3 linked regions of the Macaca fascicularis genome follow. The protein of the gene in region 2 interacts with the protein of the main gene of each other region in a biochemical or structural test. Links are inferred from orthologs where the notes say so. Each region holds a gene or a part of one and is shown on either strand. Other genes may lie near its edges.

Evidence for each region.
Region 1: the proteins of CD244 (region 2) and SH2D1A interact in a biophysical measurement, tested with the Homo sapiens proteins (2 studies listed by IntAct). The link is inferred for Macaca fascicularis from reciprocal best matches to the Homo sapiens genes CD244 and SH2D1A.
Region 3: the proteins of CD244 (region 2) and INPP5D interact in a biophysical measurement, tested with the Homo sapiens proteins (2 studies listed by IntAct). The link is inferred for Macaca fascicularis from reciprocal best matches to the Homo sapiens genes CD244 and INPP5D.

Annotation. Positions count from the first base shown.
Region 1 is NC_088395.1:130,579,500-130,583,728, reverse strand, and holds the start of SH2D1A (SH2 domain-containing protein 1A), read right to left. Parts: upstream 2,847-4,229; 5' UTR 2,767-2,846; coding exon 2,630-2,766; intron 1-2,629.
Region 2 is NC_088375.1:100,218,865-100,222,506, reverse strand, and holds part of CD244 (natural killer cell receptor 2B4), read right to left. Parts: intron 3,246-3,642; coding exon 3,135-3,245; intron 2,714-3,134; coding exon 2,646-2,713; intron 479-2,645; coding exon 407-478; intron 1-406. UniProt on the Homo sapiens protein: Heterophilic receptor of the signaling lymphocytic activation molecule (SLAM) family; its ligand is CD48.
Region 3 is NC_088386.1:128,992,109-128,996,289, forward strand, and holds the start of INPP5D (phosphatidylinositol 3,4,5-trisphosphate 5-phosphatase 1), read left to right. Parts: upstream 1-1,335; 5' UTR 1,336-1,463; coding exon 1,464-1,606; intron 1,607-4,181. UniProt on the Homo sapiens protein: Phosphatidylinositol (PtdIns) phosphatase that specifically hydrolyzes the 5-phosphate of phosphatidylinositol-3,4,5-trisphosphate (PtdIns(3,4,5)P3) to produce PtdIns(3,4)P2, thereby negatively regulating the PI3K (phosphoinositide 3-kinase) pathways.

The DNA of each region.
Region 1 (4,229 bases), on a different chromosome or scaffold from region 2:
TGGTTTATTTCTAAATAAAATTTGATTTTATAATTACAGTGTAGCACCAAAAAGAGGGAATGAATTTTTTACATTTGTCAAAAGGGACACTCAACTCAAAAACGTTGAGAAACTGATAAAAGGCAATGTATCCTTATATCTTTCCTCTGCAGTACATTCTGGCTATCACCCAAACAGTCTCATAAGACTTTGAGTCCCCAGTGTACCATTTGAAAGACACCGTAAGGGAACTCCCAATTTGTCTAGTATTTTCCGCTACTTCACAAGGCAGTTTTCATGGAGAACTGAGAGTCATAAAAAAAGCATTTATGCAAGATTCACTTTGGGCAAAAACTTAAATGCTTGAGAATTTCTCACCTGCCTAAGTTAATTCCTCATGTGGTTCTGGCCCACATAGGAAAAAGGCTAAAGTTGTCCTTCTCTCTTGTATATGGTACTTAAGGCAATCTTTTGCAGAAGGTAGGATACACATTACTATTCCTGTTTTATAAATATGGAAACTGAGGCCCAGAGAATTTGAGTGACTTTCCCAGGGTCCACACCCTAACCTCTCGATGTTCATTCCTTTTCTTGCAGTAAAGAATAGAATTTGCCTTAACAGTTTGTTAATTCAAAAATATCTGCTGAGTGCCTATTATGTGTTCCTGTGTTCCTGGTGATGGAGACAATGTCTCCGCCCTCATGGAGATTATATTTTTGCAGGACAGCCCAGCAATAAGTAGGTAAACAGGCAAATTATCAAATAGTTTAAAGCTCTTTGAACAAAAATAAAGAGATGGAGTGAGTGTATCAGGGACAGAGAGAGGGCACTTGTTCTAGATAGGTGGCCAAGCAAGTCCTCTCTGAGGGAGGAGGCAGTTGAACAAACATGTGAACTGAAGGTATTTTTGGCAGAAGGAACAATAAGCACAGAAATCCTAAGTGGGGGCATTTTTGAGGAGCTTGAGAAACGGCCAGGAGCCTGGTGAGGCTGAAGTCTTAGGTGTATCTTGCCTCTCACTATACCCTGTTGTCCCTCCCCTGCCCAGACTTGTTTTGTATGTTCTTTTTCACCTTTGGGTTAAGGAGCACATTATCTCCTTTGTCAGTTTCCCTAAAGCAGCGCCTTTCACCCACCCACTCACTCCACCTTCTCTCAATGAGAAAAGAGCCTAAGAATCCTAGCTGATTTTCATTGCCCTTCCCTAGATTCCACACGGGAACATAATTATATAAGCAAAACATAAAGATTCAAGCCCAAGACATTCAATAACTTCCACGTATTTCCCTGGAAGCCTTTATGAAAAATGTATTTAGCATGACCTGAGAGCTGCCACAAACAAGGCTTGACCATTTTTGAAAACCAATATACAGTGAAAATCCTCTAGCACCAGCATCAGGATAATCTTTCTTCACTGACCCATAAGGTATTTCAAACTCTTGTGGGGTATCATCAGATGCTGAACTTACTACCAAGCATTTAACCTCATTTGGTTTCTGTCTAGAACCTACTATGCAGGGCTGCTGTTTTCATGGATTTTTTTTATCCTGCTGACAATAATGCTTGAGCTAGGTCCTTCCTTAGAAATGCCCCCATGATTCCTAAAAGAAATCAACTGAAAAGAGAAGATAAAATAACAATATATTTTTGGTATAATGACAATACCAATAGCTTACATTTATTGAACATTTACTAGGTGTCAGGCCCCAGTGCTAATTTTTTTACTGCATTATAGCACTTAATCTTACAATCCTATGAGGTAGGCAGTAATATGATACCTATTCAATGGATAAGAAAACTGGGGGACTGAGAGGTTAATTTGCCCAGGTCACAAGCCTAACATCTGACTAGCACAGGACAAAGTCTCAGATCTGCCTGACTCCGCAGCCCTGGAGCAAAGACGCAGATGAATTTGATTCAAAATGAAGCCTTAGACTGAGACATGCCTAGGCAAATGGCAAAGCTGAATCATAACAAGGGTGTTTTCCCTCCATTCCCTTTAAGACTATTGTGAGTCCTAACGTTTATCAAGAAGGGTCCTATTTCTGAAATCCCCTGCCCCTCCCCACCCCCCACTACTTTTCTAAAGGATGCTACATCAGCAGATCCAGAGAGGTGATTTTACTCATACACATCCCCCTCCTCTCTCAGCATCTCGACTTTACTGGCATTGCATTCTTAAAGTAATTGACTCTGTTTCTTAATGTGTCTCCTCTCCCTGAATGTCATGCCCTTCCTTTGGGATGACACTTCAAAAGTCGTTTAAAGAGAGCTAGAGTAAGGCTCCCAGGGCACCACCCGATAGGGTTCAAAATAGAAGTGGGGAGCCTGGGTCTTTCCTGGAGCGAAGGTAAACTCTAGACCACATTTCAGCACCCGAAAGGGCATTCTCTGCGGCTGCCCCAAAAGGCTCTGGTGAGGGCCTTCTGGAGAGCAGGTGGCCCAGGGAATGAAATCCCCAGCGAGGGACTCAGGCGAAAGTGTGTTTCACCACGGCCCTGGGCTGGACTTGAGGGCGGACCATGGAGGCGTCGTCGGCGAGCTGCTAATGCCGGCGCCCCTGCCTGCCTCGGCCTCCACCCTGGCCCCAGCTGCCGCTGCCCACCGCCCACACCCTCAGCAGGCCCATGCCCACTGTATCATACTCACAGCACACACAGGCAGTACACTCCTGGCACGCTCTCGCTGTCCCTCAGCAAATAGCTGCCATCCAGCCCAGTGGCAAGCAGGAGCTTCTCGCCTGTTTCCCTGCTGATTTTGCCATGATACACAGCCACTGCGTCCATGGCCTGGTGGACTCTTGGGCAGGCCGAGGAGGAGAAGTGTACAAGGGAGATGCCACTGCTACTGCAGCCAGGCACAAGTCAACCACCTGACTCCCAGTTCAGCCAGATGTGCAAAAAAGAGAGAAGCACCCAAACAACAGGATGTTGTCTACTTGCCTTAAACCTCCTTCTCACACTTCAACTAAAACGAGCTCAGCAATTTAGTAGCTTAGTTCAATCGAGCTTGCCAAGGGCTTCCATCTCCTGCCCCCCAACACAGGGTTCATACAGAGCGGGAAGGAACATTGGAAGAAGGATTTTGCAAGATTGGGGCTGTACTGCCAACACACACCCTTGCACTCAGACAGGGATGCTTAGTAATGCTTCTGTTCTTGCAGTTTACTCAGAGGCCACCAGGAATAACTTAGCTCAACTAGCCGGTAAGGAGTTGATGATAGAGGCAAGTTGTACATGTCTCTGTCGGTATGTGGACCCATCATGTAGGGCAAAAACATACTAACAAAATGAAAGGATCAAAAGCTCTGAGAACAAAACACTGATGGTTTTATCAGTACTGTCAGTATGAAATCATTACTGAACATGGCCATGAAGACTCCCACAGAATCGGACATAGTAGATGAACAGTGAACTTTGGGCAAGTTCTTCTTCTCCCTCTTCCTTCTACCTCACGCAGTCATCTTGAAAGTCTTGGTCCTGAGTAAATATTGATTTCTTTCCTAACACCTTGTCCAAGGTCCCAAAGTGCTAGTTGAGATACAAAAGTCACAATGTACATCCAAAGATTTTCCAGATTTATCTATTTGATGGGCTTTACATGAGACTGTGAATCATTTAACTGGTGCTTTGCCTTTATATGCATTTGTATGTGCCCTTTGGTGTATAGGGCCCAACTTTCAGCATTTTGGCCATAAAATCTGTTTTGAATCATTTGCAAGTTGTTGATAATATTATTGTAACTTTTATTCTCTGTTGTTTCTAGAAAATGTTATTTCTTCAATTGATGCTAAACTGTCTTTAATATTTTAAAACCTTTCAATCTGCATTTTCTTCTCTGAAATAAAGCATTGCTTCTATTTCAAAATGTGCTAGGTAATATTTCCCCAAAACTTCCTGCATTTTCACTAGAGTAAGACTTTATTTATTGCTGAAGCTGAATGGTCTTATACATGTACCTTTAGATTATGTAAAGTACTTTTAAAATTGGAACTTAAATAGCTGAAGCTATGTCGTCTATTATATGCTTTCTGCAACTTCAGTGTGTAGTTCTTGGAGAATATGGCAAGCCTGGAAGCTCAATAGGGAGAACGACACTTAATTCCTCACGTGGCTTACCAATGGATTGGATGTACAGAGCTGACCTGCACCAAAGGCAGATATTTGCTCTTCATCTACTAGGGTTTAGAACAATCCTCCAAGATTTCAGTGGTAGCTGGTAACAATTTTTCTTCTTGATTGAAGAGTGT
Region 2 (3,642 bases):
ATAAAAGAGACCAATGCAGATTCATTCTTTCCTGAAAATGAATATAATAGGGAATAGGGATAAAAAGTGCAAGAGCCCCAAGTGCTAGAGGCAGCAGCAGGGCAAGAAAGCAGAAGTTGAGTCCCCTAACCAGGTTTCTGCTCCTATAGACTTTATCTGGGCCAGACCTTCTACCAGACGCGGAAGAAGAAGGAATGCCCACATCAGGCTTCCCAGCTGTGTTAAGATGCTCCACAGTCACATGGATCTTTTCAAATCATGTGTTAATGCAACTGAAGTCAAGCTATCTTCTGGATTCCAAGAGCACTAAGGTCTTATTCTGCCATTCAAGGGTGTGAGTTTCGGGGGGGGCACTAGGAAACCCCAGAGATAGGTATGGAATGGACTAGAGAAACTAGAGAGGTACCTGGGACTGGATCATAGAGTAGATGGTGCTGCCCCCTCCAGGAAAAGTCTGCTCCTGCTCCTGCTCCTGCTCCTGCACAAGAAATAGGGATGGGGTAACGTGAGCAGACAGCTAGGTCAGTCCAGATTTAGACTGAGCAGGGGAAAACAGCACAAAGAAGAGGGGCTTTCAGGAGCCTGGGAGGGAGGTGGCAGGACTGAGGAGAGTCATTGATCCTCCCAGGATGGGGAAAGACAGAAAGAAGAGCAGTTCCGGTGAAGCCATTAGTATCAGGAGCAAAGAACCACCCAGGTGTGAGGGATTCCAGCAACCCTGCCCAAAGAGAATGCTGTCACTTTCTTTCCTTTACTGACTTAGAAACTCTTCCTTGCAAAGCTCTGAGTAGGGCTGTTATCTGAGCCTTATGTCAGAGCACTGGAATTCAGAAAGTTTAAACATTTCAAAGACCACACACAGGTAAGCCCTCTCTAGATCATCTTCAGTGTCACTTTGCCCGTGACCTCAAGCCAGCCCCCTGGGCAGCTACAGTGCTGGGTACAGCCCTGAACCCAAGGGCCAAAGCAGGGAGCAGGGAGCAGGGAGCAGCGCTTCCTGCTTCCCTTTTCTTGTTCTTGCCCCTTAGGAAATCGGTGGTGGAGGTATTTCATGCTGCTGGCCACTGAAAGCATATTGCCAGTTGGATAGGAGCCAGTGGAGCCCAGCAGGTTTCATTAGGCAAGGTGCAAGCTAAATTCCTGGAAGCAAGAAGAAGCTAAGAGGAGCAGAGAACTGTCAGCTGTCCTTAGAGGCTGGAGAGTCATGGGCATCTGACAATGTCAATAACTTCATTTGTGTTTTAAAATACTGCAAGAGTTTGTTGCTTTTCTCTCCTGTCCAGACTCATCTGAAGTGTTTCTAGAAAGATTAGAGCTGGGTCTCAAAGTGAGACCACATGAAACTTGAGATTTAGGCCTTCAAATTGGAACCCTGAGACAATAGGGAGAGGCCAGAGAGGGCTGAGGCCAGACAGGGAGGAGCTCTTGAGTCAGAAGTAAGCTAATAGGACTGAATCCCCAAGATGTTTCCTTTGCACTAAGTTGTTTCTCCCCCTGTGGTCTCCTAAACTCAAGTCATCTTCTTTTTGGAAAAACAGATTATTTGTAGCAAGCAGCACCCGCGCATCATTGGCTGTGGGTAGATTCACATGCTCTCAGGAATTTGCACCAGAGTCTGGTAGCAGTGAGACAAACAAAGTTCCCTTTTATTTTTCACATTCCAATAGCCACTGCTTTATTTTTCACATTCCCATAGCCACCGCTGGGGCCAAAACAAAACAAAACAGGCGTGGGGAACTGCCCTAACTGCCTCTGAAACCAGACCCAGGAGAGGATGCTTGCCTGCTCTGCGAGGCTGCACAGGGCCTCACGTATGTGGCCAGCGCGGAAGAGCCCCACCACATGTGCTTGCTACGTGGTGCTGGGTCTCCGCAGCCAAGCGCCAGGGGGCAGTGGAAAGAAGACATTTCCGCCCCACTTCACCCCCCAACTTCCTGCCAGCAGTTTGGTAGGCCCCATTAGAGCTTTCCCCTGGGCCTGTCACCACATTAGCCCTGAGCAGGACACAGCAGCAGGGGCATCTGCAGGCCCTCTGCAATTTCCTCCTCTTCTAATTCTTGGATGACGGGCAGAGTTGGCCACTGCCTGCCACAGAGAGCAGGCGAGAGGCTCCTGGAGGAACCCACTCAGGCTGGTGGGCTTTGTGCCAGGCTGGTTACTCTAATACCTCAGCCACACTCAGGCCTCTTCTCCCAAAAGGCTGTGAATGCAGCCCATTGAGCCAGCTACAAAACTGTTATGCTTTGGCTGGTCACACTTCCCAGCCTGTGTCACCATTAAGGGACTCATGAATGCAAGCCCTGACTCATTGGGAAAAAGAATTTGTGGTCAGACAACAAATACCACAGCAGCACTCTGCCTCTGCCATTGATTTCTGTTGTGCTCCATCCCTTCTCAGCAGGTGCAATATTGCACCAAGAAGCCCCTTCAGCCTCCCTTTCATCTTCTCTGCTCCTTTTGTTTCCTCTTTTCCTCCATTGCCAGAACTAGGAAGCAAGTGGAGAAAAGATAGTTGGGGAAGGGCTGAGGGTCACATCAAGAAGACAGTTGTTCAGTCCTTTTTGTCCCTCTTCTCTGTATAACCATCATTGAAAGAGCATTTTCCAAGCCAATTGAGAGCGACCCCAGCCTCTGGGACAACATACTTTATTTCTCCTGGTTTTCAGATCCTTGACCTCTTCATAAATTGTCAAAAATTCCTTGGGACAGGTCTCTGAGGGAGGAAGAAAACAAAGAGCAGAACTGCAGAAACTTTCAGAAGGGCTTTTGCTTCTAACAGGCCCCACCTCCACCCCAAATGGCCAAACCTTAAAGAAGGTTCTAGAAAGGAGGCAGGTTAGTGCTCTTCCCAGGAACCCCAAAGAGCACAGAGGCAGCAACCAAACTGCCCCTCTCATGCTTCCTCCCAAACCAGCTGTCTGCAGGGAAATCTGCACATTGGGGATCAGAAAGCATGAACGAGGAGAGAAAGCCTGGCGGCCTGCATGCCCCCTGCCACCACGCATATGCATATACCAAAGCTCGCTGAGGAAAAGGAGATGCTGTGCTCCCAGACACATCCCACTGGAGGCAGGACCAAGTCACAGGATCCGAGGCCTCAGGCAGAAGCATCACCCCAAGGACCTTCCACTCACCTGATTGCTTCCCCTTCCTCTTTCTCCTCCACACACAGAAGCAGACAAGGGTGCCAAGGAACAGTGTGCTTAGAATCACGATGATCACCAAAAACGGCCAAAATCTGAATTCTGAGGAATACAGAAGGCATGAGGTCTGAGCTGCCAGCTCACTCTCTTCTTCCTTCCCATCTGCCTACTGCAGGGGCTGCCTCAAAACCCACTCTTTTCTGTGGTGTGGTTGATCACACTCTGTGAACTCACCATCAAGGTTTTCTCTTTGCTCATTTGGGTAACCTCCTCTGAGTGATGCCAAGAGCATGGATATTAATAGCAGACAGGCCTGGCTCAAATTCTAACTCTGTGAGCTCTGCACTATTTATTTAACCTCTCTGGGCCTCTCAAGTCATCTTCTTTTTGGAAGATACCTCAGAGCCTCTCAGATTTTCTCACCTGTAAAAGGGGATAACGTTATCTACCTATGGGGGTTAATTACATGATCTAATACAGTTGGCCCTCCAAAGTTTTG
Region 3 (4,181 bases), on a different chromosome or scaffold from region 2:
GGGACAACCATCAGCGTGACGCACGTTGAGCCCCTGGGCACATGTGAGCTCCTTTACGAGCTACGTCCTTCAAATTAGACAAGAAGAAACCAAGGCCGAGAGAGAGAAGAAACTTGACCAGGTTCCCACAGCTTGAATGTGGTGGCGCTGCCTGGCTGGTGCCACTGCCTGGCTGGTGCCCCTTCCTGGAGGGGGTCTGTTGTCATGTCCTGGAGCCCAAGGCCTGGATGTGGGATGAGGGGACACTCCTTGTGCAGCGGGTCAACACCTGCCCCTTCAGCCTTGGTGGGCCTGACCCAAGGATGGAGGGTACCCAGGTCTGGGGGCTGAGGGATGGGTGTCCACTGCAGAGCCCTCAGAAATGACTGGTCCTGGATGGCAGTCCCTGGAGAGGCAGCTCCCCTTGGAGAGGTGGGCAAATGTGGCCATGCCCAGCCTTGGAGGAGGTACAGTCTGACCAGTCACCCCGACTGCTGAGATGCAGGACTCAGGACCCCGTGTTATCCTTGGCCAGGCGGCCAGCCTGCCCTGTGGGGCTTTGGGGTTCTCCTCTCCGAGCTTGTTTCCCCAGCATCCTGGAGAAGCCCAGAGAAAAAGTCAGCCTGTGTTCCCACTGTAAATGGTCCACATCCCCTCCAAGCTCCCTTTGTGTGTCTCCAAGCTGGACTGCAGGGATAAGAGCTGTGCTGCCCGTGCAGCATCCACCGGCCCCTGGGAATGAGGGGAATGCAGTCACAGAGCCGTCACTTGGACCTCGGCACCCTCGGCTGGTGGTGGCCAAGGTCTCCCAGCACCCAGGCCGCTGGGAGTCTCTAAAGGGGAGTGGTGGGGCTTGACTGTCCCCTCCCCCTCAAGTTTGCTCTGTCCTGGGCAGGCTGTAGTCCCAGTTGAGAAGCTGTGCCCCCTTGGGTGTTTTAGGGGTTCAGGATGGGCGTTGAAAAGCCCTGGGGGAGAGCAGAAGGCTCAGGGACCTGTCTAGGGCGTGGCATCCCATGTGGGCGTCAGCATGGCCGCAGAAGAACCACTCTTCAGGCCCACCCATGCCTGCTAGGCCATGCTTCTTCAGAAGTGGCCACGACTCTCCTGACGTCTCCAGAGCTGGTCATTCTGCCCAGTGGGACTTCAGCTGTCCCTGGACACTTCACTTGTAGGCTGCGACCTGTTGCCAGGAAGGAGAGGGCCGGTGAAGGAGCCGCAGTAGCCGTGGCGGGGTGTGGGGGACGGTGGATGGCCAGGGCTTCCCCCCGCCCTCTCTCGCTTGGTTTCTGTAATGAGGAAGTTCTCCGCCGCTCAGTTTCCTTTCCCTCGCTGAGCGCCTGAAACAGGAAGTCAGCCAGTTAAGCTGGTGGCAGCAGCCGAGGCCACCAAGAGGCAACAGGCGGCAGGTTACAGCAGAGGGGCCTCCGCTCCCCTCGGTGGCGTGTGGGTCCTGGGGTTGCCCGCTGGCCCGGCCGAGGAGGCCCATGCCCACCATGGTCCCCTGCTGGAACCACGGCAATATCACCCGCTCCAAGGCGGAGGAGCTGCTCTCCAGGACGGGCAAGGATGGGAGCTTCCTCGTGCGTGCCAGCGAGTCCATCTCCCGGGCATACGCGCTCTGCGTGCTGTGAGTACAACCTGCTCCGTCCCCGGGCACAGAGATGACAGAGAGGCTTAGAGGGGGCCCAGCACTGGGATGGGTTGTTCTTATGTCACAGGACAAAGTGATCTGCCATGCACACTTCCCCGCCACCCTGTCATGGACCTTGTCCTTGGACCTTGGCCTTGGAGTTCAGAGAGCTGGTCTCGTGGCAGATTTTGCAGCCTTGGAGCTGTCAGAACCACTCCGAGGCCTGATCTTACACCCCAGCTTCCCATGAGCTGTGTGGTGCCCGGGGCTTCCTTGAAGTCTGGGGAACGAGAGAACGAGTTTGGGCTTTTTGAACCAGGAGGAAGCTCAGGGCTCCTTGGAGGTGGGTGTGTTAGAGATCAGTTCAAAGATGCCCAGCTCAGAAACCCTGAGAAGAGCAAAGGTGGCAAGGGGGACCCTTCCTGGAGCACCCAGGCTTTGGGACCCTGGAGGCAGCTGTTGTTCGGCGAGCCAAGCATATGGGCTGAGTTTAATCAAGAAAGGACTTTCCGTTCGCTCACCACTACCACGAGCGAGCAGCCTCTTCTCTGTCTCCTGAGCACTCGGCTGTGACCGCTGCCCACCCCCACCCCTCAATTTGGGTCTCTGTCACCATCAACTCCTCCCACTGCCCGGCTGGGGATGTTACTGAATGTGCCAGCTGTGCTAGCAATGGAGGAACCAGCCACTTGCTGAAGGTTCCTTTCTAAAACCCCCTTCCTGTCCAGTGTCTGAAGGAGGCCCTTGCCCTGCAGCTCTTGGTCTAATCATTTTGCCGAGGCCTCGGGCAGTGCCAGGGTGTAGTCAGGGAAGGGTATGTCCACCCGAACATCTCCAGTAGCATCCCCGGGCTAGCAGAAATGTTCCCCCAAGCGGAGAGGGCCTTGCCCTTCTTCAGGCAGGAGGGGAAGTGGGTGATGAACCCAGACCTGTTTTGAATACTGACTCACAGCTGGGGCCTGCTGTGCTAAGCATTTGTTAGCCCATTTCATCCTCACCACAACCTGAAGTGAAGGTCCTGTCAAAAGCCCCACTTTGCAGATGAGAAATCTGAGGCCCTGGCAGTTAAGTGAGTGACAACAGTCAAAGCCATGGCCATCTGCCCCCAGAGGCTGCAGCTGAGACCAGCAGCCTGTGGCCCGACCTCTCCTGCTCCCAGTCTAGCGGGGCATGCATGTAGCCTTGTGGGGCTGGAGGCAGAAGCAAGGGCAGCCGGAGTGTTTACAGGGTCGGCTGGGGCACTGGAAGCCAACCCAGGCTCACAGCTGGTCGCTGGCCTGTGCTGACAGTCTGCAGCCCCACCTCCAAGACTGGCTTCCTGTGCCCCCTCTCTCATGCCTCAGGGGAAGGAACGCAGGCCCAGGCTGCCTGGACTTCCCCAGTGGGGACCTGCTGCTGCCGGGGCCTTAGAAGGGGCAGGAAGATTCTCTTAGGCATCTCACAAGCCCAGTCTGACTCCACCCGGCCCATGTGGATTATTTGGATTTCTCTCCTGGCCCAGTGGGATCTTGTCCTGGCTGCTTGGTGTTGGCTGAGCCGAGGGCTTCCAGGGCCCCATCTCATTAACCTTCAATGCAGCTCTTTGACCAGGGCTTTGTGGTTGCTCAAGTTACAGACATGGGATGTGGGTCTCTCTGACTCCAAGCTGTGAGCATCTTAATGTCTAGGATCAGCCTGAGCCAGAGTCAGAGCTGGAAAGGTCTTGGAAAAGCTCTGGTGCAACAGCCCTGGCTTTTCAGGGGGTAGACAGAGTGCAGAGAGCCTGAGGCCTTTGTCCACCATGCTGGCTGGGGGCAAAACTGCTGGCTTCCAGGCCAGTTCCCGTATTCCTTCCTCCACCTCTTCTCTCGGAACCCTTGTCTGCACTGAGTTACTCTCAGAGTCATGACAGGTGTGCAGTGTCTGCTCCTTAGAAAGGGACCTGTGGTGCCCACAGATGTCCACTATCCTCTTAGCCAAAGCCTCATCAGCCTCCTATCCTGAGGCTGCTGGGTTGCAAACACCAGGAGCCCCACCCCTTGGCCAGACAAACCCTGGGCTCAGGGTTCCCCTTTCTCCTCTGCTCAGCGTAGGAAGCTTCCGTTCCTGCAGGGTCAGGCTCCACTGTAGGCTGTGGGACGCGATGGACCTGTAGACTTTCCACACATCTGCAGGCTTCATGTGGCTGCTACCCTGGATTTTGCCAATTACGGAGATTTTAAAACTAAAAAGTAATTAAATGAATGATAACAAACTGTCATCCTCCAACATCTCATTTCTTGAAAGAAAGCAGCCTTTGACACCAAAAAAGGCAGGAAGGGCATACAAAAAAAAAAAAAAAAAAAAAAAAAGACCAGTCATTTAAAGCAAAGAGATTGAACTTCTTGAAAAACAAACCCCACCACCCCCTAGTTTTCTCTGTTCCCTGCGGAGTGGCCGCAGCCTGCTGGACATGGCAAAGGCAGGCAGCCCCAGGCTGAGGGGTGTGCAGGGCAGCTGGGTTTATCTGCAGCTGCAGAAGTAGCAGCATTTGCTCCCCAGCCCTGGAAACCTGGAGCCACCCTGCTCTAGAAGTGACTGCAGAAGGAAGCCA